2 linked regions of the Mus musculus genome follow. The protein of the gene in region 1 purifies or fractionates together with the protein of each later gene. This does not show direct contact. Links are inferred from orthologs where the notes say so. Each region holds a gene or a part of one and is shown in the gene's direction. Other genes may lie near its edges. The genes, in order: Phip and Cul4b.

Region 1 (16,192 bases):
ACTTCAGGTCTCTGAATTCTCTAAAGCTATAATGGAGATGTATAGATAGCCATTGATTCATATCTCTTGCAGGCCATGCAATAAATTGAGTTATGGCTGCTAAATAAAGTCCAATTTTAATAATTGATCACTTATGGAGATGGGCCAGACCATCGACGAAACCTTTGCTTTCCAGGTATAGCCCTTAGAGGGTGATGCTGCCACCTCAGGTTCACTCTCAGTCTCAGGACCACCCGTGCTGATCTGTGCACCTTGGGTGTTGGGATGAAACGCATAACGAGGGCCCACACTGAAAACTAGCATTTAAATGATGGTTCCTCAGCTGACACACAGACAGTAAGATTTGAAATGAGAATACTCTTATATGAAGCAAGGCAGATAGGAGCAAGGGCCAGATGCTAGAGATGGGCTTGGGGTTTCCATGCCAACTCACTTTTGTCCGGAAAAAGAACTTCACAGAAGGAGTACACAGGACCAGAACTTGTAATAGATACTCCTTTCTGTGTTTTTAAGAAACCCTTTAACAAGTAAAGTCCTATTGAAATAGTTTATTAGTAACATGGGACAAGCAACAGAAAAGGAAAAGAATTGGATGCCAAAGGAACACACAAACTGTAGTGATTATCGTCAGAAAAGTGCCTGGAATAGTTATTGGAGGAAAATATCTTCATGACTGAGCCACAGCTGATTTCCCAAGTTTGCATCACAAATTACGAACAAAGAAAAAAAAAATTAAGGTAGTACAGAATCTGAACCTAATAATAAAAAAATGCATTTCCTAATTTAAGTTTTGTAAAGGGGTGAAGTTAGACAACACTAGTCATAAAGAAATTCAAACCTACATAAGTTCTAGAAGCATCGCAATCTGAGAATGAGAGAGAAGCAAACATAATCAGTAATTCCTCTAAGCGAAATCTACCATCTGAAGATGCCTGGTTTGTCTTGACTTGGCCAAGCATGTTGGAAAAGGAAAAAAAAAATTCTAATGACAATCCATGCACACTTGCATAAAAGAAAACACTGTGGCTTAGATTGCACTTGTTTATGACTATGACAAAATAGAGAAAGGAAAGAAAAAAAAAAAAGAGGAAAAAGAGGAGGGATGGAAGGAGAGAGGAAAAGGCCTTGCTTTCCTGATTTTTTTTTTCTTTTTTTGCAAAAATTGTTCCCAGCCTTTCCTTTAACAGCCAGAGCAGTTGAAAGTTAGAGATATGGAAGACTAATGTGTGATGCCTCAATTTTAAAAGTCAGGGGCCAGATTCATCGTTAGGTAATTTTTAGAGTTCTTCAGGTAGATCTAAACTGATCACATCAAATGGAAATCGGATCTTCTTTCTCATATGGGATTTACCACTAGAAACCAAAGTCTCAGTGATGAAAGAGGAGGAAAAATTAGATACTTTGAAAATGACTGAAAGTGTAGGGGATGTGGAAATCGGAGGCAAGAACTTACTCAGAAACCCAAGACTGAAGGATTAGATAAAAAGCGCACTGTGGGGACATGCACCAGCCAGGGAAGAAAGAGGAGAGCTTTCAAGAACCAGGAATTTTCACTTTGATTTTTTTTTTTTTTATGATTTTTAAAAGTTAAGGAGATGTGCTGAGTCAGGATGAGGGCAGTAGAAAAAGACAAGGAAGTTCTTCCTTCTCACGTGATACTACTTTCTTAATATTTCTTAAGATAGTCCCTCAAGGATGCCCAGCAATACGACCAGCAGTCGCTGTGGAAAGGAAAGAGCAAGGGTGTTCTTACTACAACGTTCTGCAGAAAGGCTGTTTGTCTATGAAATCACTCTTGTTCGGTACGTGTTTTCCACACCTGAATGTAAGCATGAGAATTATGAAGGTAATAGGATTTGTAATCCCAGAATCTAATTATAAGCTTTTCATAAACTTCAGCACACATATCTCAATAGGATAATGTTGGTATTACTCTGTAGGTGTATGATGGACAGCCTAGTGCTGGCTGGCCAGTAACGTTTCAGTAGGAGAAAGCAACAAGGGTCAGGGGAGGAGGCCTTGCAAAATAGGCACACGTATGAAAACAAAAACAACCTGCAAATACTCTATAATAGGCCTCCTATTTTCTAATTCTGAAATTGGGGAGAATATTTTTGATTAACCGAATGGGTTAAATCTAATGTCATCTCTTTAAACTTCACTAAAAACTAAAATTAATTCTCAATTTTGAGTTAGACTTGACTTCTACTGGCAATCTGAAAGCTTAGGTCTTATTCCTTTGAACGGTTTTCCTTCCTCACCAACAGGTCAACTTTGGTGTCTTTGGTTCCTAGTATTTTTCTTATGAAGACATTTCTCAATATTTGTTGGATAAGCCTCCCTCCCTTCTCCCCAAAGTTGATTTTCATTACTTGGGGGTCTTGAAGTTTAGGAATTAAGTATTTATAAATACAAGAGATTTCTTAACTCTGGTCCTGAAATCCTGTCTTTAAAAAAAATCACACCAATAATACTATATTTTATTTAAAATACCACCAGCAGCAACTTTCCGGAGCCTGGGCATCCTCCTCTCCATCCACCTTCCTTTTCCAGTGTTCTCTCTGAGTCCAGCCCCCTCCCTGTCCATCAAACACCTTGCTAGGATAATACATGCCTGCAGACTTCTGTATGTGTTCTCTCCTCTGGAACAGCCTTTTTCTAAGTCATCTACTGTGCTGCTCTGGATCTGGGAGGAATATGTTCTAAAACTGTTTTTCTTCTGTAATATCTAACTGTACTGTTAAAGTCATAAAGTGGTTTTAAACAATGTATATGGATTTATCCATGAAAGTATGTATTTCTTTTACAAACTAACATGCAACAATTGTAAACTACAGGGGTTACTTAATTAGGAGGAAAAAAAAGCTTGAATAAATTACTAACATTAAAATAAGAAAGGGAACATACGATTATTGGAATTTAGCTAATATTTGTTACAGATTATAAGAAAATGTACTACAATTTATGGGAAAAGTTTTCAGTGATCTCGTAAGGGGGAATCATTAAATAAAATTAAATAGCAAAACCAAAACACCCCCCCCAACCCAAACAAACCAACAACAAACATGTTATCAAATGATGGAGTGGTTTACTAAAGTACATTGACCCTGTTCTTTCTGAAGGTATCAAAACACTATAGCTGCTCATGAGATTCAGATTTGATAGTCACGGGTTGAAGAGACAATAGGGGGTGAGAAGAAACAGATTGGCATGGCAGAAGACGCAGAAGTGGAGAGCATGCCACAGCAGTGTGGATGAGCAGAATATGCCCCCCAAAGGCCCTTATGGTAGCATGCTACATTTTGTTCCTCAGGGCAAATAAATAGGTTTCTGCTTTATTTCACTGAGTGAAACTTTTTGCTCTGAAAGTAGCAAATGGGCAGAGAATATATAGCTGAATTGTAGTTGGCTGGCACAGCAGGAGCAAGAAAACCTGGGTTCACTGCTCAGCCTTACAAAGTATCAAAACAAAACAAAACAAAACAATGTAATTGCTCACCTAAACCTCATAAGGGTAACATAATACCAGTCCAGAACCATGACTTACAGATAAGGTCAGCCCGGAATCCAGTTTTAGCTTTGTGTCAGACACCATACTATAGGAGAGAAATCAAATTTTATAAAAGTAGTAGAACTTTAAAGTTTATAATTAGTGTCCATCTTATTCTAGAGAAGACGTAAATGGCAGAGTTGATCCAGTATGGAATTTCACAGAAACTTGGAAAAAGTTTATAATCCTTCTAAAGAGACTATCAGATAAAAATTAGTTTTTGCTTTCAAGAGTTCTTTTCTTCTTTGATTTTGTTTGTTTGTTTACTTGTTTGTTTTCTGTTTTTTTTAGCTTCTTAATTAAAATGCACTGAGAAGTACTTTTTAATGGTATTTTTTGGAGTACATAAAAACCATAAAGGACTAGAAAGGGGTATGGATTGAATTTAAACTGTCTTTATAGAGAAACAAATCAACTGTGGGAAGAACTATGCACACCTCTGCTTTGGGAACAAAATACAGGATTTCTAAACAAGAACTTGTATTTGATAAGCATAGACATTTTGCATACACATGCACAATAAACGACTTAGCAATCTCAGTTAACCGAAATATTCTATGCTTGATGTTAAAGAAAGCGAAGTGATTTGGTTTTGTTTTTTTCAAAAGATAAAAGTCAAAAGAATGGACTTAGCAAGATGCAATTTAACAACTAGGGCTAAAAACAACACATTTTTTGGACTGAAAGAATTAGAGAAATCCTAATTTTTGTCAAGCACTCTTTATATTTTACGAAAAACAACCATAGGAATTAATTTAAAGGCAAGCTTACAACTGTTTTCAAAAGAAACTAAAAACATTGTCAAAGTTAGCCAAAATGTTAGTAATGACATGTTTAGAAGGAAGCAGGCTTTCCTTAAACAGTTTTTTATTTTTGTTTTCAGTCTCAAGAAAAAGCTCCCATGGCTTCTGCATGGAAAACATACATGGTATCATGCTAGCCTCCCATGTCTCCTAACACCTACAAAACTTTATCCAGATACAGTTTACATTACTTGCCAAAATTTGATTTTTACCTCTCAAGGGCAAAACATCTAAGAGGAAGAATTAGATTAGTGTTGCGTGCAGAACCAGCAAGCCTCAAGTAGAATTTTTAGTTCTCAAAATCTGTTCATTTAAAGACCTTCTCAATGAAGTACCTAAATTATTTGAAGGACATAATGCATTTTAAAAAGTTAAGATAAAACAACATTAGTCACATAAATAAATACAATTGCAAAGGCATATAAAATATGTTTTATGCCTAATTATTCAGAAGCAGGCTACTTTACCTAACATTGTAAGACTAGGATTACACGTTTTAAAAATGCAAACATGTCCAGATTCTGAGGCTAGCCACACCAGTTTAGGGGCAGATCTTATAATACTGTAGCATTAGGACCAATCGGGGTAACCTCTTATTTTTATTGAGTTACAAAAGGCAATTTTACATCCATGATTCCAAAGGGGGTTGAGACGGTTTCCTCGTGCTCACATGTGTGAGAATGTCTGGTGTTTTAGTGCTCTTGCAGTACAGCCTAAGGCGGCTGCAGCATTTCCCACTAGGAAGGCAGGGAGCTAGGAGGGTGCAGGGCTTGAGGAAACAATCCCGGAAAACCACAATCCAGCTTCTTGGTCCTTACCTCACAAATTACCTTTTAAAATCAGACCCATAAAATGCAGCTTATTATCTAAGAAATTCAAAGAGGATCTTTTGTTAAGGATTAACAAAAGAATGACTAGCCTAATTCTCTTTAAAAGGCCAACCTTTAAAAAAATTGAACTCTCAAAGTCTTTTTGGAAAGTGCTTAATTCATCTGGAGATAAATATCACTCGGTGTCCTTGTTTTTTAACAAACGGCCTTTTCCATTGTTTCCATTAATTTCACCCATATTCGTTTTAAAAATAACAAGGCCCCTATCCTCATCAGCAAAACACAGATGAACGATGTATCATATAAAACCAGTAATTACATTAGGATTTACGAAAAGATTTTTGTTTCTGCTTTTCGCCAGTTTTTAAGAAGTCTTCCCGTGATTAACTGTAAACAGGAATGGTTTACACCGTAAATTAGAAGCCATTAATTAGCATGACGAAGTCAACTGCAAGATACACAGATAATTTAAATTATTTAATCACTAATCACCTTTGCTAAACTGTAATATACTCTTTCAATAACCTTCGGTAGGTTATCGACCGTGTCAGTAATTTACCTCCATATCAGTTAGAGATAAGTATTAGCTAGCGCCCTTTCCTTTCCTTCAGGTTTATATTAGCCCTTCTTGTAAACACTTTAAAAAGCTTTAAGGTTCTTCACTTCCAAATCCCTAATTAGCCATCACTAGCCTTTTTGTAATAAGTGGGGGAAAAGATGAGCTGAAGTACAAATCTGGAGTTCCTCTTGCCCGTTTATCAAAACAAAAACATTTTTTTTTTTTAAACGAACGCTTCAGGCGATGGTAGTAATAAAAGAAATATGCAGAGGTGGCTTCGGGGAATAACGGGTTTGCAGAACGCAAGTGGCTCAAAAAAAAAAAAAAAAAAAAAAAAGCCCGAACCTCTATTGCAACCCACGGCACTCCAATAAATTACACAACACTTGCCCAGGCTGCAGAAATATCGCAGGACAAGACTTACACGGATGCCAATCCGCAGCATTTATACACATGCACATGGCAAGACTGAAAGCAAACACTAGCGTTCAAGTCGGGCAGGGCAGCGCGATCCCGACTTGGCCCAGCTTGAGAGTGCTCGCTGAGAGTCTCTGTGCGTGCGTGAGAGTGAGCCCAGTCCTCCCGGCATTTCCCCTCTTTGAGCAGTTTTGCTTCATTTGTTTCCTATTTCTGCTACATAGAAACTAACTTCCATCTCAACCCAGCCAGCGCCGCTGAATAGAGCCTGTGCTGCGGCTCCGTGTGCGTCAGATCCCTCCGCGCAGCCGTGCCGGCCCCCTCCTCCCCTCCCTCCCTTTCTCCCTCCCGCCCGCGGCCTCTTTAGAGAAAGCGCCCGCCAGGCAGCCCGCCGCTTCGGCTCCGACATCTCCTCGCGCTGGAAATAAATAAATAAGTGGCGGCCCAGGGCGCGCGGAGCGACGACCGCGCGGGCGCGGGCCTAGGCCGAGGCACTCCTTTTCCCGCGGGGGGCGGGGGCGGCGAGTGCGGGGCCGCGAAGGCGCGGACTCCTTTCTGCGGCGGAGGGATCCCGGCGGAGGCGGCCGCAGCCGGGGCCGCTGCCTGAGAGTTGTTGTTTCCTCCTCCTCCTCCGCCTCCGCCGCCGTTGCTTGAATGGTGGAGCCGAGGCTCGGCTCGTGAGCACACACTGACAGCTACAGGGCAGGCGGCGGCACCGTCCCCGCGTCCCCTCGGCGGCGGGGTGTCCCGCCGGCGGCCCCGAAGTGACCCGCAAACATGTCTCGTGAGAGGAAAGGCCTCTCGGAGCTGCGATCGGGTAAGTCGGGCGCTGCGGGGCCGCCGCGCCGGGCGGACTCGCCCGCGGGCCCCCGCCCCCCGCGGCCGCTCAGCCCGTGTCTCCCCGTCCTTCTCTCCCGCGCAGAGCTCTACTTCCTCATCGCCCGGTTCCTGGAAGATGGACCCTGTCAGCAGGCGGCTCAGGTAGGCGGCGCGCGGCGCGGGGACGGGCGGGCGCTCGCGGTGGCCGCCCGCGGGCGTGGGGGAGGGCGGCGGCGGCGGCGGGGCCGCGGCCCGGGGCGCGGGGGCTCAGCGTCCCCGCTTTGTTGTTGCAGGTGCTGATCCGCGAAGTGGCCGAGAAGGAGGTAAGGGCGCGGCGGCCCGGCGCCGTCCCGCCGCCGCACGGCCTCCCCCGGGCCGCTGCGCAAGCTCGGGCGTCCGGCGGGGCGCGGGACGCGGGGCGCGGGGGGTCCCCGGCGGGGCGCGGGGCGGACTGGGGAGGGGAGCGGCGTCGGTCCGGGCCGGGGGCCGCGCTCACCGGGCGTCCTGTCCCCGCAGCTGCTGCCCCGGCGCACCGACTGGACCGGGAAGGAGCACCCCAGGACCTACCAGAATCTGGTGAGACATTCCTAGCGCACTGCAAAGAAACTTTTCCCCGAGTCGAATAAAAATTGAATTTCCCGCAATTTTTTACAGAGACAAAAACTTGGCCCCAGAACGGGAAAAGCTGCAAAGGCCACGGGGAGGGTTGGGAGGCCGGAGCGGGGGCTGCGGGGGGCGGCAGCCGGGGGTGCGGGCGCCCCGGGGCCGCGGGGTCCGCGGACAATTTATTTGTGATATTTTGTTAATGTGCTAGAAATAAAGATACGTCATGAGTGTTGTGCAGTGCAAGGCCAGAGGAGGAGGGGCCGGCGCGCGTATCCGCGCGGGGGCGCGCGCGCGGCGGCGGCGGCAGCGGGAGCGGCGCAAGCCTGGAGAGCGCGCTCGCCAGCTCCTTGCTTGCTCTGCACGCGCGGCCGGCTCAGCTTTCTCCAGCTCCACACAATAGCTGGTGACTAACTGCTCCGAAGTGGCATTAGCATTTCACAAGAAGGCCTTTGAGCCGCGGAGGAACCTTGGCAAGATTTTTTAAAATTTTTTTTCCCCCTTCTCCTCTGTCTTTTGTTTTCTGTAGATTCAGACCCAGATTTTTAATTTTATTTTTTTTTAATCTTTGTTTGGTTGGAGGCGTTCAGATAGATATGGTAGTCACCCAGCGGCACATTGTGCATTATACAAACAGATCTGCCGAAGTATAAACCTGGAAGTTTTAATAGGCGTTTTCCAATTTTGCAGATTCTTGGGGGATATTACCTTCTTTTATTAAAAGTCATTTATAGAGGTCATTGAAGAATTGTGGGTTTTATCTGCATAGTTGCCGTGGGGTGGACCTTGGCTTTTAAGTTTTTGTTTATATTGAGATGTTTTTCTTTAATTGATTGAAAAACAATGTTTTTATAGTTGGTGAGTTTTCAAAGGCAATAATTTACAAACAGTTGCTTTCCATACGTGGAGCTGACACGAGTATGGTGAATGGTAAGGTTCTCTTAGTTTACTTGAGTAAAGGAGCTGCAGGTTTCACAGCCTCTTCTTTGCCTAAGAGAAGTTGATACAGTTGTTTGTGTGAGTGTGCTGCATAGTCAGTCTCACCAGGGCCCATTGAGCAGTTGAAATTTAGGCAGTGCACTGACAACAATGTTTGAGATCAGTTTCTGACTCTTCGAGGTAGTTGTGATTACTAGTGCTTTCAGGGCTGTAGGGTTAGGCAGTTTTAGTAGTTCAGAATGAGTGTCTCTGAGGGCATGGCATGATTGTGATAGCTTTTGCTTGGTTTTGAATATGAGTCGCATAGCTTTCGTGTGTGCATTTTATGATTTAATATAAACCACTGGTTACCGTGTGACTGTTAAGGCCGTAGAAACCTAGTGGAGGGTGTTTTCGTTTCCATGCTTCCAAGTTAATTTTCAATATCGAATTAGGGAAGTTCAGTCAGTTACTTGGTCCAAAGTGATTGAAATTTGAACTAAACTCCCGGGTTTACTATTTGCAGTATTGGTAATTTTTACATTTATGCTTTTTACACAAATCTTCAGTGTATTTCCATGCCTTTCTGGCTGTTTAAGAAGAAAACAACTCTAAAAATACTGTTACAATGATACAGCTTTTTTTTTTAAACCACACTCATCTTTTCCTTTCTTTAAATATCCCACAAATCCCAAGTCATTGAAAATGAAAGTCTTGTTAACTTAAGAATCTTTAAGTAATGCTATGTTTTTTTGAACTAAGCAACTAATAGTGTTTTTGACCAAATAAATGCTGGGAATGGTTAATCAGTGTAGGAATATCACTTTGTTTACTGAAATTAATTTTAGAGGTGGTTCATAGGCCCAAATAGTAATAAAATGAAGTATTTGTAGTCAGTTTTTCAAACTTCATAAATTGTGGTTGTCTGTATGTTATTTATCAAAAGCCACCTGTTTTGCTTGAAGGTGATTTTTCTTGTGAAGAGGTTTTTACCTCAGCAGTTAACGATGGCTTTACTCTAAAGACAGGTAAAATTCTCACTGGAACTTGTGTTTGGTTCCTGCCCTCTTATTTACTCAGCATAGAACTGCACTGGACACAGGGCACCCTTTGAAATGCTTTCACACCCAGTAAGCTGTATGCTGAGGTGTGGGAGAGTATGGGTTGACTTTATGTCACTTTAATTTTGATTTTAGGTAGCTTTAAAACATTTTGATTGTCATGTTTTTGAGCATATTGGTACATATGAAAAATTTGTTTTGGTAAATACATGCATAGTTGCTTAAGTATTCTGTGTCTTAATTCAGTTTCATGACTTAAAAGTTTTTCTTTTTGTACATCAAATTGAATTAACAAGAATTAATTTAAAATTATTTGGTGACTAAAAATGTAGTTTCAACTTCTACTTGAAAATGGTTTGGAGTATTAACTGATAAACTGGATAGTAATATGAGCAGAAAGATACATGTGAAATTGGAATTTTCTAGAAAATCTTTAGGAAAGAGAAATGTTTGTACTTAATGAGTTTAAAAATAATATCAACATTGATAGCTTCTAAATAGAATTCCAATGTCATTCAGTTTTGGCCTAGAGGAAAATGGAGTGTTTAGTGCAGTTTTGAAAGTTTTGTAAGTTAGAAAAGTAAAATTGACACATTTATTTAATATATGATTGAAAAAGGGAATTCTTAACAAGCTGAAAATTTTGTGTTTGGTATTAAGAATGTGATGAATTATTAACTGTGGGAATACTTAAAACATTCTTGTAAAAGTGAATGGAATTTGATGGGATAATTGTTTTTGGCACGATTTAAGTTTATTCAGACTTTATTTGTTAACCTAGTTTTTTTTTTTTTTTTTTTTTAAAGTAAAGGACATTTTTCAAATATTCGCCAGATCTCTTTTAGATGAAGCCAGGTATTAGGCCAAAAAAGTTTCTTGGTTTTTAAATTTTATTTATTTATTTTATTTTTGGGTAGCCTGGCCTTGAACTGTGTGTAGCTGAGACTGACCTTGGTTCTTCTGGTGTTCTTGGTTCCACCCCCAGAGTCCTGATTACAGAATGTTTTATGCAGTGTGGGATGTGAACCCAGCAGCTCTGTGCATGCTTTGATGATGAGCAAGCACTTCACAGTGAGCTAGCTACGTATTCACTCCAACCAAATTGTTGCAGATTAACAAGGTTTTTGGACAGTATTTTCAGTTTTTTAAAATGGGATTTCACTCATCCTAGGGTGGTCTGGAACCTGCTGCAGCCTATACTGACTTTTAGTGCTCTGTCTTCCTGTCTCATCTTCCCTAGTTGGGATTATAGACATTAGCCACTTGGCTCATTTCTTACTTGTGTATCTGAATTGTTAGTTTTTTAGTTCCCCTTCCCAGTTGTCTCCTTAGCTGTTTTATTAAAGCAAGTCGTCGAAGCATTTTTACTTGGGATGTGTTGATTACATTTTATTTGTAAGTTATTCTTTTCAGTTGAGTTAATATTTGCTGATTTGTTGATATATAATTTTGCTTTATTAAAAATAACCATATTTCATTTTCTTAAACTGATTGCATGTCGTTAGAAATCTTTTTGTCAGAGTGAAAGAATTAGAAGTCAGGAGGTGTGGACTGTTGTCTTGAAGCCAGGTGACAATTAGCTTGCAGGTGATAGGAACAAATTCTATAATTTATTACTCTTGTCTTGGTTATTTCTAACTGTATGTAAAAACATGGATGGAAAATGATCTGTAAATATGATTTTGAGTTAGAAATAGCAGTGCTTTGTTTTTTAAGTGCTTAGCATTCATTTTGGTGTTTAACTTTCCAAAATGGAAAGTTAAATCTATAGAAATCATGCCAGTTTGGAAGTCGAATAAATGCTTTTTATAGTACCATTCTTTGGTATTTGGCCTACTTTGGTTTCTGTTCACAGAAAACAACTTGGGGGGAAAGGGTTTATTTCCACCTAGAACTCCCAAGTCACAATTCATCTCTGTGGGAATTCAGAGGAACTGAAGTCACCTGGAGGCAGGAACTGAGTCAGAGGTCTTTGGAGGGAGGCCACTAAGACCTCAGTTTGTTGATTTACTCCCCCAGCTCAGCTACTTTTCTTATACTGCTTAGGCTGCCCACCACCCACTGTGAGTTAGCCCCTCATCAATTTGCAATTAAGGCACCTCACATATTTAGCCTCAGGCTTCTCTGACTGAGGAAAGTTCTTCAATGAGGGTCCCTTTGCCCAGATGTCACATTTACAACTGAGTTTTTATAATACTTCTTGTAAAGATGAAGATTTTTGAGAGAGTAGCCACATTGTAGAATACCTTTGTATTGTTGAATAATTGTTTTTCACTTTGTAAGTAAATAAGTAAGTTACTGGTAACTTCAAATTCAGAGATGAATAGAGGAGCTATTAATTGAATTTAATTAAGTATATGCCCTAGGTAGGTATACATATATTTGTTATGAGTATGCTGATTAAAGTGAAAGTTATTGGATAAAATTTAGAGATAAGCTTAAGGAAAGTGGTAAGGTAATAGATGTCTTCTTTAAACTAGGAATTTCCGGTCTGTATGAGGGTACTTTGAAGACTTGAATATAAGTCTTTTCCAGTTTGGGAGAGAGAGCAGTTGAGAAGGTAGTTAGGTAATGGTAGCATTATACTGTTGTTTGTTTGCTTGTTTGTTTTGTTTTTGTGCATGTCTGGTTTTTTTTCTTTCATTTTTAAATTCTTTGAAAATTTCATGCATGTGCGTGATGAATTTTAGCTAATTTTTGAAATTGTAATTTAAGAGTTTCAATTAAATACCAAGCTTTACTTGGTAGTTTATAAAATTGAGCTTTTAAAATGACCTACAATTATAATGAGGGATAAAATGTGTTAGTAGGTATAAAGGAAATTAGTATGTGCTAAAGGACAGAAACTTCATCTTTTTAATGTATACAGTTATTCTTTTGGTGCTTAGTATCATCCATTTTTTACAAATTAGGTGCACTTATAAAATTTATATGTGTACTTACTATGTGGGTATGAATGTGTGATTGTGGTGGTCAGAACAAACTTGGGGTGTTCTTCAGGTACCATCCACTTTTTTTCCCCAGATAATTTCCCTGGCCTACAACTCTCACAGTAGGTTACAAGCACCAGGGATCCACCCACCTGCTTGTCCTTCTAGTGCTGGAGTTATTGGGGATGCCTGGTATTTTTTAACATGAGTTTTGAGGACCAAACTCAGTTCTTTACTAAGTTTATGCCCCCAAACTACGGAGATTTTAAATGAAATAAGTCCACATGAGATTCTCAATCCTTATATTGCAAGGTGATGTGGACATAAAGGGGTAGTGGAATTGTACCTTTGCTAACTGCATGGCGATGGTTTATAGATGACAAATTGACTTTAAAAGTCTGGAAATAGTAGTTGGTGTAGGGTTGGGTTTGCTCTTGGCTACCTTAGAAGCAGTAGTAAAGGTAGAACTGTGTGGGAGTGTAGTTTTCCATAAGGAAAGCATTTCTATCTGAGATACATGTACTTAGAGCTTTCTCAGCCTAGCTAATACTTTATTTTAATATTTATTTATTTATTGATTGATTGATTAATTATATGTAAGTACACTGTAGCTGTCTTCACACACTCCAGAAGAGAGCATCAGGTTTTGTTACTGATGGTTGTGAGCCATCATGTGGTTGCTGGGACCTGAACTTAAGACCTCTGGAAGAGCAGTCGGTGATCTTAACCGCTGAGCCATCTCACCAGCCCCTAATACTTTATTTTAAAAAGCTACTTTGAAACTTTAGAAAGTACTGCTAATGTACTTTTTAGGTGAAAAAAAAACCCCTAAGACATAGAAAAAAGGTCAGTGACTGTAAAACAATAAATAATTTCTTAAGTAGGTCTATAGAAGTATTTTGCTGTGAATTTGGCTGACTTGCTGTGAAACAGCAAACTTTAAATATTTGGGTAGTTGCGTTACCTTGAACTAGGCCTGGAGTTCTATAGTTCCTGTGGCTGGGCATTTACATAGTGTGAAGGAGGTCCTGGGTTCAATTCCCTGTTCCAAGAGAAGGAAAAACAAACAAGCAGAGGAGGGAAGTCCTACCCTGAGCGGATTAGAGACAAATGAAGCCTTTTCTTTTTCTGATAGAGAGAGATTGAGAATTAACGTTGACTCCTTGTAGTCAGAAGTCTGTGGCCTTTAAAGCCGTAGTCCTTTGTTCTTAGACTAAAGAGAATGTCTTCTAGACAATTTAATAATTCAAAAATTGTATTAATTCTTAGGTTAGTTTTAGGTTAAATATTGTCGTTTTTTACCAATTTAGAGGTTCTTTGTAAAGATAGGCTACAAGTTTTTGTCCTTGTTGATTAAATCTGGAAATTGTTTATCTGCAGGCATTTTTCTCTGTCCTAAGTTTTGTTATTATCTATGTGTTTTGTGGCACTTCAGCATATGGGCAGTTTGTTTTGAGCAGTGCCTAGTCTAATGGGAGTTCATTCTTAGGAACAGTTATGTGCAGTTCAGGATTCTCAGAACAATATGCTTAATACTAACTCATGTGACCTCGATTAGCAGACAATTTCTGTTTATTTATTCTTAGGAATAGTTATGTGCACTTCAGGATTCTCAGAACAATATGCTTAATACTAACTCATGTGACCTCGATTAGCAGACAATTTCTGTTTATTTTTACTGACTTCAGGAAGATATGAGCACATTGGGCATAAAAAAGTATCATTTCAGTAGGATTTTTTTTCCCCTGAGACAGGGTTTCTCTGTGTAATCCTGGCTGTCCTGGAACTCACTCTGTAGACCAGAGTGGTCTTGAACTCAGAAATCCACCTGCCTCTGCCTCTGCCTCTCCTCACCCCCTGAGTGCCCAGCCAGTAGGAATTTTTAAGTTACTTTTGTAATTATATCTAAAAGTGATAAAGACTGTCAAATTTAGGAAATCTGAAAATTACAATGTTTTCAGTTTCATATTTTGTTTGAGAGAATATTTTGTTGACATGAGTAAACCTTTTTGAAAAATTCTTTTGAGAAGTCATTTTAAATTAATATGTAAAAGCAAAAGTTTATAAATTACTTTGCAATTAATAAGGTATTTAGCATGTGGATTATAAAAGGGTATAAGCATTCTGTGATACGGAGAAAATTAAACTTTTATTTGTGGAATTTGAGAATATAAGGTATTATAAGTCCAAAATAATGAATAGTGGCCAGTCCTTTATACAGATTTGAGACCTTTTGGTTCCCGCTTAAGAGGTAGTCATCATTTGTCTCTAGGCGTGGTTACCTTTAGTGACGCAGTACATATGCATGTGCAGTCTTGGAGCTTTCACGGGTGACTAAGCTTTGATATTAGGAAAGCTAAGCACTAACGTAGTCTGGTATATCCTCTGCTTAGTTTAAAATGAAACTAATGAGATTTGTCAGAACATTTCTGTTGATAGTAGCATGTTAAAGACACAGTCCCAAAGGAAGTCGGGTTCTGCTCCAGCTAGCATGGCACACTGGGTTTCTGGCATGGGTAGGGAGGAGATAGATAACTTGGGAAAGGTTATAACAATGCAAGAAATGACTACTGTGAGCTGAGTCAGTTTGCTTCAGTTTACTTTTGGATGGAAGGCAGTTTGGAAACGTAAGACTTGACTGTCTCTAAATGAGTACTGAGACTGACACATAACGAAGCATGAAATGGGATGCTCTGGTTTTACATGGACTGTTTTAAGAGTGAGCAATTTAAGGGTTTTTTTTCCTATCCATTAGAAAGTAACTTCATCAGAATAATAAAATTTTAGATTATATTCTTAACATATTGAGAGATAATTTATTTTACAACTTTTGCTTAGTAAATACGATTTGATTTTTAAAACTCAACGTGTTACTCTAAGTCATTTTGTGGTGTTTTAAATTAATTCGAATAGAGTACCCCAACTGTGTATGGAGGAACCTTTAAGACTGTTTTACCAAAACAATCAGATTTTAAATAAATAAAGTTAGAAATATTTGTATTTTCTTTAACTGACAGATACTGTATTGATAAAACCAGCTGAATTACCTAAATGTGTTCTTATGGTTGACTGAAATCTTTAAATCATTCATGTTGTGTTTCTTTCCAAGTACTTTATAAGTAGACTTCTAAGATTGATTTTGAGGGTTCTGTATTTATTGTGAAGCATTTTATAAGGAAATCATGAAAATCTAGGAATTCACACTACTATTTTGTAAATAGTAGTTAATCTAATTTAGAAGATTTGATTTTACTTATTAGTTGTAAGTTTATAATGCTCAAGCTTTTGTGACTGGGGGAGGGGATATTGTGAGAAGGCAACAGTGCTGTAACCAGTGCTGGGGGCTGCAGACCTAAGCTGGGTTAGCTCATTCCTGTTTCTGAGGTAGATTTAGTTAGACAGATTCACTACTTTTCTTTACCTATGGCATCGGTGCAGTTTCCTTACATTTCTTTGCCATTCTTTAATCTTTACAGTTAAATTATGAAGAATGGCATAAAGATTCCCCACCCCCACCCCGTGGAGAAACTAAATAAACTTGGGATCCTACTTTCAATACTACGTTTTTAATAAAATTTTATATTAAGACACTTGTGGGCTCATAGGCAAGAGAAAGCAGAGGGAGCCTATGCACACTGAGGTCCACTGAGAACATTTTACAAAGCCATGGTGATGATACTGACTTTGAGTGTCAGGATCCCA
Region 2 (16,092 bases), on another chromosome or scaffold:
CTGCTTTCACATTTTTCTTTTAAAATAAAGCACTTAGGGAGCCAGGCATAGTGATAGAGACCTGTAATCCAGAATTCAGGAGGCTGAGGCAATATTGCTGTGTAGGTCACATAGTATGAGCCCAGCCAGGGCAATATAGCAAGGCCCTGTCTCAAAACAAACAGAAAACAAAACAAAGAAAGCACTCCTTTAGGAACTAAAAACTTTTATATAACCCAGAGAGACTTTGAGAACTACAGGGTCTATTTTATTTATTGCATATTTTAGATCATTAAGAACAGTTGAGGAATGCAACTAAATTGCCTTGTATTTTGACCTTTCCACTATTAAGAACCTGGGATTTTACTGCTTGTTTAATCTCTTTGAGTTTTGGTGCTAATAGAACCAATGTATTAGGTTTTTTCCCCTGAAAAATAGTTAATACAGTCTTAATTTGTTTTATAGTAAAAGAACTTTTGAAATGTCTGGCACAGACATGGACCTCCAGTGTTCTTGGGTTTAATAAACTTGGATAAAATGTATAAAATTAAATAACTTGTCGTGTTGTAATAAACTTTTTAAAGCCATTTTCTTACAGCTTTACTTGGCATATCATGAGTGTTATCTTTTTTATTTAATACAGGTAAAGATGTTTTTGAGGCCTTCTATAAGAAAGATTTAGCCAAACGCCTATTAGTTGGCAAGAGTGCATCAGTAGATGCTGAAAAATCAATGCTGTCCAAACTGAAACACGGTATGTTTGCCATTCTTTTTTTTTAATATCAGGGTTTTTTAAAAAATATTTGTCGGAAATTATGGCTTAATTATACTCTTTTCGTCGATTGCTGCTTTGGTTGATCATTTTATATACACATGAAAACATAAATTGAAGGGGTGGGGAGGAAGGCTCAGAGGGTAAGAGGCACAAGCATGAGGACCTGAGTTGTTAGGACACCCATGTAAAAAATGTTGCGTGTATGTATGACTCCAGTGGCTAGGGGTGGGGTAGAGGTAGGGAACAGGAGAATCTTTGAGGATTCCTGGACACCAGCCTAGCTCTGGGCTCAATGATAGACCCTATTTCAAAGGACTAGGTCTGTTCTCGTAGAGCAGTACAGCCAGTGACCTCCATGCCTGTGCACACTTACCCAACATACGCACACATGAAGTGAGTAGGACGGTCCTAGCCTCTTGCTGATAGCCATAATTACTGGCTTGTTTTAAAGACAAAGAATTATTCTTTTGTTTATTAGTATAAAAATTCCCAACTATCCTATACCTGGATTAAAGAGTTTACCTCTGAATCATTACTAGGGCACTCTAAGAGGTAAGACTTTTCATTCTTTTTTTTTTCCAATTTTTTATTAGATATTTTCTTCATTTGCATTTCAAATGCTATCCTGAAAGTCACCCATACCCTCCCCCTGCCCTGCTCTCCTACCCACTCACTCCCACATTTTGGCCCTGGATTTCCCCTGTACTGGGGAAATAAAAGTTTGCACGTCCAATGGGCCTCTCTTTCCACTGAGAGCCGACTAGGCCATCCTCTGCTACATATGCAGCTAGAGACACGAGCTCTGGGAGTACTGGTTAGTTCATATTATTGTTCCACCTATAGGGTTGGAGACCCCTTCAGCTCCTTGGGTACTTTCTCTAGCTCCTCCATTGGGGGCCCTGTGTTCTATCCTATAGATGAATGTATCCACTTCTGTGTTTGCCAGACACTGGCATAGCCTCATTGTGTCAGCAAAATCTTGCTGGCATATGCAATAGTGTCTGCGTTTGGAGGCTGATTATGGGATGGATCCCCGGGTATGGCAGTCTCTAGATGGTCCATCCTTTTGTTTCAGCTCCAAACTTTGTCTCTGTAACTCCTTCCATGGGTGTTTTGTTCCCAATTCTAAGAAGGGGCTAAGTGTCCACACTTTGGTCTCCGTTCTTGAGTTGCATGTGTTTTGCTCTTTTCATTCTTACAAGTGGTTACAGATCATATTTGATGCCCACGTTAAGTTTTGCGTTTTAGTTTCTGATGTAAAGTTTTTGTTGTATTACCTTGAAATATAAACATGTAAACATCTTTAACAGAATGTGGAGCCGCTTTTACCAGCAAGCTTGAAGGAATGTTCAAAGACATGGAGCTTTCTAAAGATATCATGATTCAGTTTAAACAGGTAAAGGCTGGTTAAACTCTCTTACCTAATCCCTTAAACTTCAGGATACTTCAGTTATGTCCTTGCGGCAGTTTGTATTGAAGAAGAAGATAAATAGAAGCCCATATATATATATATAAACAAATAATTCATGGCAATTCAAACAGTACAGTATAGGAAAGAGATCATCAATGAATTTTAAGTATATTTAGCTTACTTCAGGATTTAGTCATAATTAACATCCAGAATAAGACAGAAACATAAGTAAAAATGTATTACACTAAAGTTAGTATTAGAAGAATTATACTTAGATAGTAAGAGCGGGGCTTTTCTAATCAGTTGGAGGCTTTACATGTTCAAAGCTTGTAATGGGGATAGAGGTGAGGTGATCAAGGACAGGGGTGGTATATTCTGTCTCTCTTGACATTTGGGATGAGAATTTGGATCTATAGTTTTGAAGACCTAAATAGGAGGTTGTTTTAAAGTATTGTAAAAATATAAGCAACCAGATGTAATTTGTGTAACTAGTCTCAGCTGCTTGGAATGCTGAAATAGTATGTGGGCAATATAAGTGAGACCTTGTCTCAAACAGTAGTGGCAGTAATGACTAGGCAATAGTGATGGCAAATTAGATTTCACTCCTCAAGGGTTCAGTAATGACTTCTTGACTACTACATTGAAGGTGGTCAATGGAACCGAAAGACTCAAAGTTCAGAATTAGTAGGATCATGGATCTTACAGCAGCCACAGGATGGCATTTATTTGCCTTGCCCTTTCCCACTTCAAATAGGGAATGAATCATTTGAAAAACCAGAGACTTGGGTTGGCTGGTGGGGTGAGGAATGCAAGTTACTACAAGGTGTTTCAGTCCATGTAAGGTTTCTAAACATGGGTTTAAAGGTGGCATTGAGGGAAAAACGGTGAAGAGATGCTACAACAGCCCAGTCGTGTGTGAGAGGTTGAGTTGTTAATCAACCTTGGATGGTTTTGTGGGATTTTTGTATGCTGCTCTATCAAAATGGCCACCTGGGTACAGCATTTTGTGTAGCCTTCATTTCAAGTCTTAATAATCCTTTATTTGCAGGATGGTCAGTATTTACATATATTTTTAGAAAAAGGAAATTCTTAATTTAGTCATTATTATGGTATGACATATATACTTTCATAATCTTGGTGTATGTATTAATCTTATAGTATATGCAGAACCAGAATGTACCTGGCAATATTGAATTAACTGTTAATATCCTGACAATGGGTTACTGGCCAACATATGTGCCTATGGAAGTCCATTTGCCGCCAGAGGTAAGATAAATTGCTTCAGAACTAAGCTATAGATATAGAAATCACATTTTTTCCTGCTTTTCATTTGAAAATATGTGACTTTTAAAGGCTTATGTCAACAAATATAACAACAAAATATGAGTGTTAATATTTTATTCTTTTACTTCATTTTTCAACTAGATAACTAAATTGAGTCTATTTTCCCTAATTATTCTGTTTCTTAGCTTATGACCTCTTAGTCTTTCTAGCTGTGAAAAAATCTTGCTCATATTCCACCTGAAGGCAGGATTGGTAGACGTTATTGATGGATGTATGAGTATCCCTTCATGCCCTGGAAACTGTCCTACTCAGGACCAAAACCTAGAATGTTGGAATAAAGAAAGATACTAAGTCTATGGAAAGAACTATGGGTGCCCAGAGAGTAGATTTCCCTCAATAAGGGAAGAATATGGTGAAGAGGAAGAGAAAGGGCAAAGCTTCAACTTTAGAAAAGGCTCACATTTAGCAGATGGTAAAAAGAAGAACCTGTGAAAGAAATGTGGGCAGAAGCAGCAGTGAGAGAAGGGAGTCGGTATAGTATAGAAGCCCGAGTCACCAGAGTGAAGGAATGATTAAATACCAGGGTAGAGAAGATCAGAGTGTAATGCTCACCAAGCAGTTACATGGGGAGTTAGATTTTAACCTGAACTTAAAGGGGTTGATATCTACTGGAGGTAATCAAGAAAACTGTCAAAAGGTATTCCAGATGGGGGTTAAAGAGTTGAGGTGGAGGTCATTGAGGTGGCCCAGGGTGAAGGCACTTGCCAGCAAGCTTGACCTCGTAGTTCAACCCCCTGAACCCACATAGTGGAAAGAGGGTACCTGACTCCTGAAAGTTGTCCTCTGAGCTTCATTAGCACATGATGGCATGCACACCCCACTTCATTCATTCACTAAGTAGTTTTTTTAGAAAAATAGTGCTAAAGGTAACACTTATATAACATTTCATATGCAGCTTAAACACTTACTTTATTTGCTTTAGATGGTAAAGCTTCAGGAAATTTTCAAGACATTTTACTTAGGCAAGCACAGTGGCAGGAAACTCCAGTGGCAGTCAACCTTGGGACACTGTGTGCTAAAAGCTGAATTTAAAGAGGTAAGTGGATTTTTCCAAATCTTTACTTCTATCTTCATCTTTACTATGGCTTATCCCTTGGTTTGAAGGTTCAAGTTGCTGTTTTATACGTGTGTCCTTGACACCGGTGTAGCCACAGTGATAGGTAATTACAATTTTGTGTATATTTTAAGATGGTTACCTTTTCAACAGTTGAGTTAGCCCTTGTCTAAAATGAAAAGCTCCCCTCTGTCTTTCTCTTTCCCTGTGGATGCAGAGTTCATACTGTGTTATTGGAAATCATGTGGCTAGAAGCTAGAGAACGGAATGGGAGATACAGGCAAACAATATCCATTGGGAAAAATCTGCATCTGTTCATGAATGATCTGAATCAAGTCAAAAATATTTGAAAGTGGGGCGTAGTGACACACAGGACTGGAATCCTACCACTTGGGAGATAGAGGCAGGAAGGAGTTCAAGGACATATTTGACTACAAAGGAAGTCTAGCTTGGGCTGTGGGAAACCCTGCTCAAAAAGTGCATTCAGAATAGTAATTTCTTGCTGCTTATGGTGAATGTCTATAATGATACATAGGACTGACTTATGTTCATTACTTTTTTCTGTTTTAATAGGCCAAATAATCCTTCATCCTGTTTTCTGTAGACTCACACCTAAATCTCGCACTACACATCCTGCTGCCATCTAATGCAGCACTTTGGATAATGTTAATCGTCTAGTCCTAGTCACCTGGGCTTAACTCACTAATTAAACACTGTCTCCCTAGAGGAGGTTATTGCTTCCTAATTTATTTTTCATGTGTTTTAAAAAACAGGAAAAAAAAATACAGTAAAACTCTGTTGTTTCTCCAACAGGGCAAAAAAGAACTTCAGGTCTCTCTTTTTCAAACCATGGTGCTGCTAATGTTTAATGAAGGAGAAGAATTCAGTTTAGAAGAGATCAAGCATGCTACTGGGATAGGTTTGTATTGTGTTGTTTGTCTAGTAGCAAGCAGTTGTAGTTCTCTAGTCTGTGCAGTCACTGTGATCAGAGCTCTGAACATAAAAGGACATGATCCTCTCCTCTGTACTTAAAAAAAAAAGATTTTTTTTTGTTGTTTTTTGTTTTTTTGTATATAGCCTGTGTGTGTATATGTATACCACACATGTGCAGGGATCTGTGGAGTCTAGAACGGGGCATTGTATCTCCTGGAACTTGAGTTAGGTGTTTGCGAGTCACCATGTTAGGTGCTGGGAACTGACCCTTATTCCTCTAAAAGACCAGACACTACTCTTGAATGGTGAGCTAGCTCTCCAGCCCCCTCCTCTGTATTGGCAATGATAGAACTAGCCACCTGGACTGTGAGAAGATTCTAGTCTAGAAGCTATGAAGATAATTCTGACATAAACTCCTAAAAGAGACTTCTGGTAGAATGTTTCCAGCAGCAATGAAATTACTAGAGATACAGCACAGTGAAGGAGAATGAAGACTTATAAGGTGATGCTAGGCTTTTCATAGGATTAGGTTAGTGTTACCATCATTAGCAATGAAGCAGAAGGTTAATGGAGAATATCAACAAACTCAAGTGATAGTACAACAGCCAAGTTGAGTGTCCTTTTAGTGATTGACTTGAGAGAAAGGAAATGTTTTGGTAGTTGTCTGCATGGATGACAATACATGCTTTTAGAACATGAGTAGGAAAAAAATGTTACTGGATAGCACAAAGAGCAGGTGTTGGTAACGGTGGGGAAAACAAAGCAGTATACTAGAGAATGTTGGAATAAGAGTGACATTGAATGTGGGGCTCATGCTAATAAGCTACAATCAAATAATTAACCATCATTTCTTCTTCAGAGGATGGAGAATTAAGAAGAACACTGCAGTCACTAGCCTGTGGCAAAGCTAGAGTTCTGGCTAAAAATCCTAAGGGCAAAGATATTGAAGATGGTGACAAATTTATTTGTAATGACGATTTCAAACACAAACTATTCAGGATAAAGATCAATCAAATCCAGATGAAAGAAACGGTAAACCTTTTGCTTTCTCCTAGTCCTACAATATTGGGTTAAATGTGTTTATAGTAGAAATTTACAGATTAAAAACTTGTATTATGCTTGAGTGTTTTAGCTGCATGTACGTTTGTGCACCGCATCAGGGCTGGGGCCCACATGTAAGAAGGGGACTTGAACAGCCACATGCATGGATGCTTGGAATCTAACTCATGTCCTCTTTATTGCTAAGCCATTGTTCCAGCTTCAAAATTTACAATTTATTTTCTCAATGCTACCATTTCATGTAACATTTTCTGTGCCTATATCCTGTACCACCATCACTTGCTGGTGTCCTTTGTTATTTCTCCCAAATTGTTGTCTTGCTTTAACATGTCTTATCTCTTGCACGAGCATACACGCACACATAATGCATATATAATAAAACCTAGATTTTACTTATGAGAGAAGTTGAGCTATTTTGTGTTTTCCCTTTTCCTTCAGTACTCCTTTCTACTTTTAATGTCGTGTGTGTGTGTGTGTGTATTTAAATATGGATTCCACGTGTCAAAATGTGGTATTTGGCTTATTTTGCTTAACAAGATCTCCATTATCATTCATTATTCTACAGATTACAGAATTTTATTCCTTACAGCTGAATAAATTTCTGTAGTAAGCATTCATCTATTGATGGATATCTAGAATGGTTGTATATCTTTATTCTTTTGTTAAATAAGAAGTCTCATTCCTGTAATCTCAGTGATAGAAAATGGAAGTCAAATTAAAGTAGATCCTTGGAGGCTCATGGACCAGGTATCCTAGGCTATAGGACAAAGTTCCAAGCTCATAAGAGAGACCAAACAGAAAATGAAAGAAAGGTACCTGAGCTCCAATGCCCAAGGTTGTCCTCTCATGTCCCCAACCACACTCATATAATAGGCATACCCTCCCCACACACACATCAAAAAAAATCAACAGAATGCTAAAAAGTTATATAATCTTGAACATACCTAAATCTTAATCTCTCTGATCTTTTCCTTAAAGTGACTTCATGGGGGAGGAGAGATGGCTTACTTAGCAAGAGTTAGCCTGTTCCAGGGAAACTAGGTTCCTAGTACCCACATGGCAGCTCACAACTAATTGTAATTTCAGTTCTAGAAGATCTTTTGCACTCATACAGACATATATGCAAGCAAAAGACCGGTGCACATGAAATAGGAATAAACATTTTTAAAAAGAATTTATGGAAGTAAATTTTTGGATCAGTGGATATAAACATTTTACGTTTTAGGGAAGGCCAGTAGACAACCTCCAGTGTTATTCCTTTGCGCTATCTACCTTGTTTCTTTACATGGTCTCTTACTTGCCTAGAACTCACTAATTAGGCTGGCAGGATGTCCATCGGGTATTCTAGGGATCTTGTTTTTACATGAGTTCACAAAAATCTAAATTTAAGAGATAGATCTTCATGTTTGCAGGGAAAGTACTTGACCAACTGACTCTACTTCCCAGTGCTCAAAGGTGGTATTTTTCTCTTCTGTATTGCATTACTTTATTGGTCCAGAGCAGTAGTGACAACAGAAAGGAACTATGTTTGTTAAGTTTTTTTTTTCCTCTCATTTAGATAAGTCAAGCTCTTTAGAACAGTATCATTGTTATGTTCCTAATATACAGTTTGTTCCTAATTAAGTTTGACTTTATTTGAAAACTTGTTTTAGGTTGAAGAACAAGCAAGCACTACAGAAAGAGTATTTCAAGACAGACAGTACCAAATTGATGCTGCGATCGTTCGAATTATGAAGATGAGAAAAACACTTAGCCACAATCTTCTTGTTTCAGAAGTCTACAATCAGCTAAAATTTCCAGTTAAAGTAGGTATTTCTGTGTCTCCACACTGAATGTATTATAGGTGAAAGGAAATACATTTAATTTTTAGACACTAATCTTGCAAATAAGATGAAAGACTTAAAGCCATTTGGAACAACATGTATTCATTTTCTATATTTGTACATGTGATTCACAAAAGAACTTTGTTTAGCAAAATTGAGAACTAGTTTACAAAAGCCACTCCCTGTACTTGAAAGTTTAGTGAGTAAATGTGACTTTGAAATTTTTATTTTTAAAGATTTATTTATCTAAGTACATTGTAGCTGTCCTCAGAGACCCCAGAAGAGGGCATCGGATTCCCATTACAGATGGTTGTGAGCCACCATGTGGTTGCTGGGATTTGAACTCAGAACCTCTAGAAGAGCAGTCAGTGCTCTTAACTACTCAGCCATCTCTCCAGCCCGACTTTGAAATTTTTGAGTTAGTTATTATATATCTTTTGAATCTTCTTTTCTGGAGATACCTTGGCATTTGACAGATTTGATTATTAGACTGAGTTATATCTTAAACTTGGTTACCTGTATAAATATTTACTAAAATCTGTTACAGAGACTTCTGGCTATATCTTAATGTTAAAGCACGTTTTGTTTGTTTTGAAAATGTCTAGCAGTGGTTCTAGTAAACCTGAATTGGTCAATATGGGCATGGCCCAGTACAAATGTTCAGTAGCAAAGGTGCTTAGACAATGTGGTGGTGTACTAGACTATTGTTCAAATTGTAAAACATTTTAAAGTGTCTGTGATACACATTTGATAGAGGTTGCCTAGACTCCTGGCTGTTAGGATTCCTGGCAGCTTTGGACTTTGATAAGTCACTTAATTTTGCTGAGCTTGTTCAGAATTGATAGATATACATACCTCCTAGTATTATTACTTTCTATTATTAATCATTTTATTCGTTTTTTTATTTTAAATGATATCCCCCTTTCGAGTTTCCCCTTCATAGACCCACCATTGCATCCCTTATAGTATTATTTTGAGGCTTATTGAGATAGGAAGTATAAAACACTTGATCATGAGTTTAGTATATATTGAGGTTTTACTTGTAGTAGCTGTTACTTCCACTATTACAAGGTAGGCTGCTTCTTCAAACTTGAAACTGCTTCCTCATTACCACACCTGCATACATGCTCACCTAATCATTTTACCTACAGCAAGATTGCTTATTAATGCTAGAACATCAGAAATAACTAGAACTTTGATCATACTGAAACCAACATGATACTTAAACCTGGGGCTATTAGATGGAAGTTTACTTCCTTTTTTCCGGTTTGGTTTGGTTTGGTTTTGAGATAGGGTCTTACTGTGTTCTACGGCTGGCTTCAAAGTTAGTCCTTCATTTTTATCAATTCCATATCTGTGAATTCAACAAACCAAAGGTTGAAAAACACTCTTTAAAAATGCAGTAGCTGAGCTGGACGTGGTGGTGCACGCCTTTAATCCCAGCACTTCCCAGCACTCAGGAGGCAGAGGCAGGCAGGCAGATTTCTGAGTTCAAGGCCAGCTTGCTCTACAAAGTGAGTTCCAGGACATCCAGAGCTACACAGAGAAACCCTGTCTTTTTTTTTTTTAAGATTTATTTATTATTTTATGTAAGTACACTGTAGCTGTCTTCAGACACACCAGAAGAGGGAGTCAGATCTTGTTAAGGATGGTTGTGAGCCACCATGTGGTTGCTGGGATTTGAACTCCGGACCTTCGGAAGAGCAGTCAGGTGCTCTTACCCACTGAGCCATCTCGCCAGCCCGAGAAACCCTGTCTTGAAAAACCAAAAAAATAAGAAAAGAAAAGAAAAGAAAAGAAAAGAAAAGAAAAAGAATGCAGTAGCTGACTGGGAAGCAGTGGAAGGCAGATCTCTTGTGAATTGTAGGTCAACCTGGTCTACATGGTGAGTTCCAGGACAGCCAGAACTACAAAGAGAGACCCTCTCTCAAACATGCCCATGGGCTTGCTCTTCCCCCCCCACACACACACACTCCAAAGAGATGCATTCACTGTCTGTAGGGACATGTACTCTTAGCTACCAGCTGAGGCAGCAATATTACTTAAGCTTCTTATCTTAACAAAATCTTGCATCTGTATTGAATATTCAATTTCTTTTCCTTTTTTTTTTTTTTTTTTTTTTTTAGTTTTTCAAGACAGTGTTTCTCTGTATAGCCCCCGCTGTCCTGGAACTCACTTTGTAGACCAGGCTGTCCTCAAACTCAGAAATCCGCCTGCCTCTGCCTCTGCCTCCCAAGTGCTGGGACTAAAGGCGTGTGCCACCATGCCTGGCTTCTTTTCCTTTTTATCTCAGGTATTGTAAGTGATGTAGAGATACTTATTTATGTTAGGGTCATTCATTCAAGAGATAAGTGTAATTACCAATGCAAGACTATTTATTAAAAGATAGTATTTCTAATTGTGTGTCTCTGTGAGGCATTTCCATGTGTGGACAGTTCTATTCAGTTCGACCTTGAGCTGGAGGTACAGGCACTTGTGAACCCTGGCATTGGTGCCAGAGCTGGACTTCAAGAGTAGTACACGCTAAGAAGCCCTGAGACTTTGTTGGTGGTGTTTGTGACAAGGTCTATCTAATACGTCCCAGGCTGGCCTTCAGTTCTCTTTGTATCTGAGTCTGAATATAGACATGTTTGACCATGCCCAGTTCTAAATGAATTCATGTCATAGTGAAATTTTAACTACAAGATTCAGAGGTCCAAATCACTTAACTAAATAAATTAAAATTCATAGTAAACCAGAAACATAAAGAGGTGAATTAATATGATACGTTCCCAAATTTCCTGTAATTGTGTGAATGTGTGGTATTGGGGAGTAGAACCTAGGCCCCTTTCATATGCTAGGCAAGTACTGTACCACCTGGTAAAAGCCTTAACTGCCCCAGCCATTTTGTTTGACTTTTTTGCCAACTTTCATGAACTCACTATTGCCATTCCTCAAGCTACCCAAGTAGCAAGGATTATGTAGGCTTATGCCAGTATGTCCAGTATTTTATATAGGTCATATAGTAATTTCTTTTACACTTTTTAATTCATGTGTTAATTGTTTATTTACTTAATTTCAGGTTTGTTTGTGACAGAGTCTTATTGTGTACCCCAAGCAGGTGTTCCTCTGAATCCTCTTGGCTCTGGCCTCTTACTTGCTGGGATTTTAGAAGTATGCTACAATGCTCCAGCTACATTTAATTTAAGTTTATTTAATTTAGAGACAGGGCTTGTCCTGGAGCTCACTATGTAGACCAGACTGGCCTCAAACTCTGAGATCTGCCTGCCTCTGTGCAGTCACTTCTGGCCTTTGTTCTCTTTTAACGGGATGTTGGTGGATGGACTTAAGCTGGTGCTTCTGAGTTTTGCATTGAAAGTGTGCTTTCCCTTACAGCCTGCTGATCTTAAGAAGAGAATAGAATCCCTCATTGACCGGGACTACATGGAAAGAGATAAAGAAAATCCAAATCAGTACAACTATATTGCATAGAATGTTGGCCTTGGAACTTGTCATAATGCTGTAGCCATTGGATAAACTAATTTGTTGAATCTCATGTTATTTGACTTCTTTTATACTTCTGATGACCAAATGAAGCAGTGTAATGGGAATAGTTGTGTGGACTTTTCTCAGTGGTTAACATACCCATTTTAAAGAGTAATACTTAACTTTTAAGAAGAATGTTGTTGAATTCTATGCATGTTATTTAGTATGATGTGCAGAAAACTCTTTAAGAAAGTACCTGGGTCTTCATGATTCCTTTTGGAACTGGGGAAGAGATCCCTATGGCCATTAAAAGGGGGGAGGGTGATTCTTATACATCATTAATAAAGCAAAAGGTTTATTTGCCTAAAAGTCATTTAAAGATACTTAAACTGCATGCAAATTTTATTTACTGTACAGAGTTCTGGATGTATTTATCAAATAGAAAAACCACCCTTGACTTGGTTGTTTACCCATTTTGTGGTTTCCCTTGAAAAGAAAAGTAAGTTTTCATTGTTGTTGGCATTCTGTTACACTGAAGGGGAAATAATCTTATTTGGAAACAAGTTTTTCAAGTAGGGTGACAGTTCCTTCCATCGTACCTTATATATTCGCATCCTAAAGGTTTCCCATTAGGACTCTGGGATGTGTACATAAGACTTAGCCCCACATTCACTGTGCTGATTAACAGGAACTTATTAAAATAGAAAATTTGCTGATCGTCTTGTACTACAAGAACATAGCAAGAGGGGAAAACCCAGGTCCTTTTATTAAAACTGAATACAGTATGAAAATCACAGGAGACCAAAATCAACAAATAAGTTTTATAAGTTGCAGGAGTAAAAATGTACCAGCTGCTTTTCATTATGTTTCAGTGGTTAAATGTTTGGGTCGTGCTGCCGTCTTTAAGTTGGGTGGATCGTCAATTGTCAGAGGTTTCCTAGGATTTGCATTCCAGTTTTTTCTACTAAATGATTTTTTTTTTTACTGTCATGCGCCTCCTGATTTGGAGAAACTCAACATATGATTCTCCCTTGTCTTCCTTGCACACTCCCTATTGAAAACTTCAAGTTCTGTAGTCCTTTTTTTTTTAATTGCTTGAATTTAAGAGTTCTTTATAGACATTGGACACTTGCTGTTCAGGAAGTGTCTCCAAATTGGTCTCACACAGAAAGTAAGGAAAGTATTGTTTTTCAATTTCAAACTGTGAGTAAAAGACTTTTCTTCCTCACCAGAGGACTCTGCTTTGCTTCCTGGTTTCTCTTTCCATGGAGGAAATGGATGATGGCAAAGAAGCAGACTGTTTTTGTGTTTTCTTTTACATTAGAACTTCTTCAGTGCTTTCTCCACTAGCACATATCTTTGTCTTTATGGAGCAATTAGGCATACTTTCAGCTCCGAAGACTTGGGGGCTCTTATGTCTGCTATTGTTTTCTTGAATTCTCAAAGACCTGTGGCTAGCTATCTGTATTTTTTAAGTTGCCTGTTTCTCTCTAATGCATCAACTTGCACACTGTTTGACTATGTACAGTATTTAGAGTTAACTTCCCGGTTCTTTCTGAGCAGCTATTTCGTATATTTTTTCCAGCTCCTCCCTGATTTCCTTACAGGAGCTCTTCTGACAAGGAATGTGGCTGTTATGTTTACTGGATCATCAACATCAGTGTTGTAATTCATCCCTGTGTTGGTCTCTGGGATATGGAGACTATTACACCACTCACTAGTTACTCTTAAAAGAATTTGTAGGTAGGTTTGTTCCTACTAGGACGCTCTTGATACCACCTTCATTATCTTGAAAGTGGGTGCCTGTCCTGAAGTTCTTAATTCTTTAAAAACTTGACGGTGTTTCAGCTGAAAAGCTAGCCAGACTACTAAGGGAAACTGTTTATGAAACTGACAAGTAATGGCAAACTCCATTGGATTATTATGAGTTTCAGTTGTTCTGTATCGGTTGAATTTTTGTGCTCTTCCCTGTGTATGTGTGGTGGTTCTATTTTTCTCCAATAAAACTTTTATTTTAAAAAAATGTTTCTGGGGAAGATATTTAAACTCGAAATATTGTGAAAAAATTGTAAATTAGAATGAATACATAAAATCTTCCTAATGACTTCCTTAATTCACATTTGACAATTCATACTTGATTATTTTTATACTTCTCTTTGTTATTTTACTGGTAGTTTTGAGATACTGTGGAGGAGGTTATGGTAAAAAGACAGTAAATTTTCCAGTATTCTCAAAGTAGACAATTATTTCCACTTTAGAAAAATCAAGGGCACGTGTAAATATGTTTCCTTCAAACTTTCAAAGTCAGCAATTTCCTGCCAGTATAGAAGTACTTTAGAGTGAAGTTGGAAGAAAAAGAAGACATGCTTCTTGTGGTGCTTGTTGTTCTGTTCTGAACCAAAAATCCAGTCACACATGTTCAATGGTTTCTAATTCAGTTCCTGAGTCTGCTGAATGGTGACTCTGCCGTAACCTTGACATCTTTGCTACCGTGTGTGTCTGTCTGTGTGTTTGTACAGGGGAGGAAACCAGTTTATTCTATGTAGCCATCAGTATCTAAGATTTATAAGTTTATGTTCTGATATCCATAAATCTTTTATGTCTTTGCAACTGAGTCTTGCTGTGTAGCCCAAGCAGTCCATAAATAATGTGATCTTCCTGACTTGGGCTCTAAGTGCTGTCTACTTACACTGTTTGACTGTACACAGTATTTAGAGTTAACTTCCCAGTTCTTTCTGAGCAGCTATTTCATATAATTTTTCCAGATTATAGCTGTGTACCACCATGTCTTGTCTCACACATTTTTTTGTTTTTTTTTTATTCATTTATTTAGTGTAAGTACACTGTAGCTGTCTTCAGACACACCAGAAGAGAGTATCCGATCTCATTACAGATGGTTGTGAGCCACTACCATATGGTTGCTGGGAATTGAACTCAGGACCTTTGGAAGAGCAGTCAGTGCTCTTAACCACTGAGCCATCTCTCCAGCCTCTAAGCACATCTTTCATTGTATGATTTTTGTCTGTTTTAATGACCACCCTGTATAATTTTACACATGACAAAAAGATACATACTTCATTTTTTCATTCACATAAAATTGCTAAAATAAATAGCTTATAAAGAAGAAAGACCCAAGGATACTGGGACTTTATATAGCTGCACTTTTTTTTTGATATTTTCTTTATTTACATTTCAAATGTTTTCCCCTTGCTGGGTCCCCCCTCCAGAACCCCTATCCATAAGTGCACTTTAAAAGTGTCCTTTTCTAATGCTTCACTAAAGATTTTTTTTTTACATTTTATTTTATGAGTACACTGCAGCTGTCTTCAGACAAACTGCAAAAGGGCATTGGATCCCATTACAGATGCCTGTGAGCTACCATGTGGTTGCTAGGGATTGAACTCAGGACCTCTGGGAGAGCAGTTTTAACCACTGAGCTAGCTCTCCAGCCTGGATTTTTTTTTTTTTTTTGGGTCAGTTGCTTACAAAGATTTTGCTTTAGGTCAAGCAAGAATTGGTGGCTCATGCCACTAATCCCAGTCCTTGGAAGGCAGAGGAAGGTGGATGGACTTGTCAGTTCCAGGCCAGCCAGGGCTGCATAATGAGGCCCTATCGGAGAAACAGCAATAAAGCCCAAAAGCCCTGTTTCACATTGGCATAGTGATCTGGTTCAAATCATACACTTGTTCAATTATTTTTTCTTCTGCTATTCAAGTGTTCTTCTGAACGGATACATTATATACTTTTATAGTTAATATTTAAGAGTATTGTCTAGCATAGTAAAAGACCCAATTCATTTTATAAAACCTTATTTGCTATAGAATATAAGAATGTATACTATTGGACACATTAGAACTTTGCAATTTTTACAAGCTACAAAATCATCTTTTCACTCTCTAATTCCTATAACATCTTTCCATTTTTAATTTTCTATTGTGGTAATACACATAAGAATGTACCGTTCGAAGCATGTAATATCCAGTTGAGACATTCAGTGTGTTCACAGTGCTGTGCAGTTATTTGTAGTTTTAGAACATTTCCAGCACCTATTATTGGGCAGTTATTTCCGGTCCTGCTCTACCTAGCTGGAGACCACTGACCTGGATTGGCCTAGCCTAGATATTGCACATCACTGCAATCATGACTCATGTTGGATTTCTTTCTTTAGCCTGGTGTTTTTCAAGGTTCATTCATGTACATGTAAGGTCCTCACTTTCTTTTATAACTGAATTTTATATGTGTGTTTACC

Evidence for each region.
Region 2: the proteins of Phip (region 1) and Cul4b purify together in Homo sapiens (affinity purification with western blotting; 8 studies listed by BioGRID and IntAct, with this or other methods). This does not show direct contact. The link is inferred for Mus musculus from reciprocal best matches to the Homo sapiens genes PHIP and CUL4B.

Annotation. Positions count from the first base shown.
Region 1 is NC_000075.6:82,966,036-82,982,227, reverse strand, and holds the start of Phip (PH-interacting protein), read left to right. Parts: upstream 1-6,738; 5' UTR 6,739-6,936; coding exon 6,937-6,976; intron 6,977-7,081; coding exon 7,082-7,140; intron 7,141-7,271; coding exon 7,272-7,301; intron 7,302-7,494; coding exon 7,495-7,554; intron 7,555-16,185; exon of another isoform or gene 16,186-16,192.
Region 2 is NC_000086.7:38,529,390-38,545,481, reverse strand, and holds the end of Cul4b (cullin-4B), read left to right. Parts: intron 1-622; coding exon 623-733; intron 734-2,064; coding exon 2,065-2,150; intron 2,151-3,323; coding exon 3,324-3,431; intron 3,432-4,431; coding exon 4,432-4,545; intron 4,546-5,376; coding exon 5,377-5,482; intron 5,483-6,355; coding exon 6,356-6,528; intron 6,529-8,207; coding exon 8,208-8,360; intron 8,361-11,753; coding exon 11,754-11,849; 3' UTR 11,850-13,866; downstream 13,867-16,092.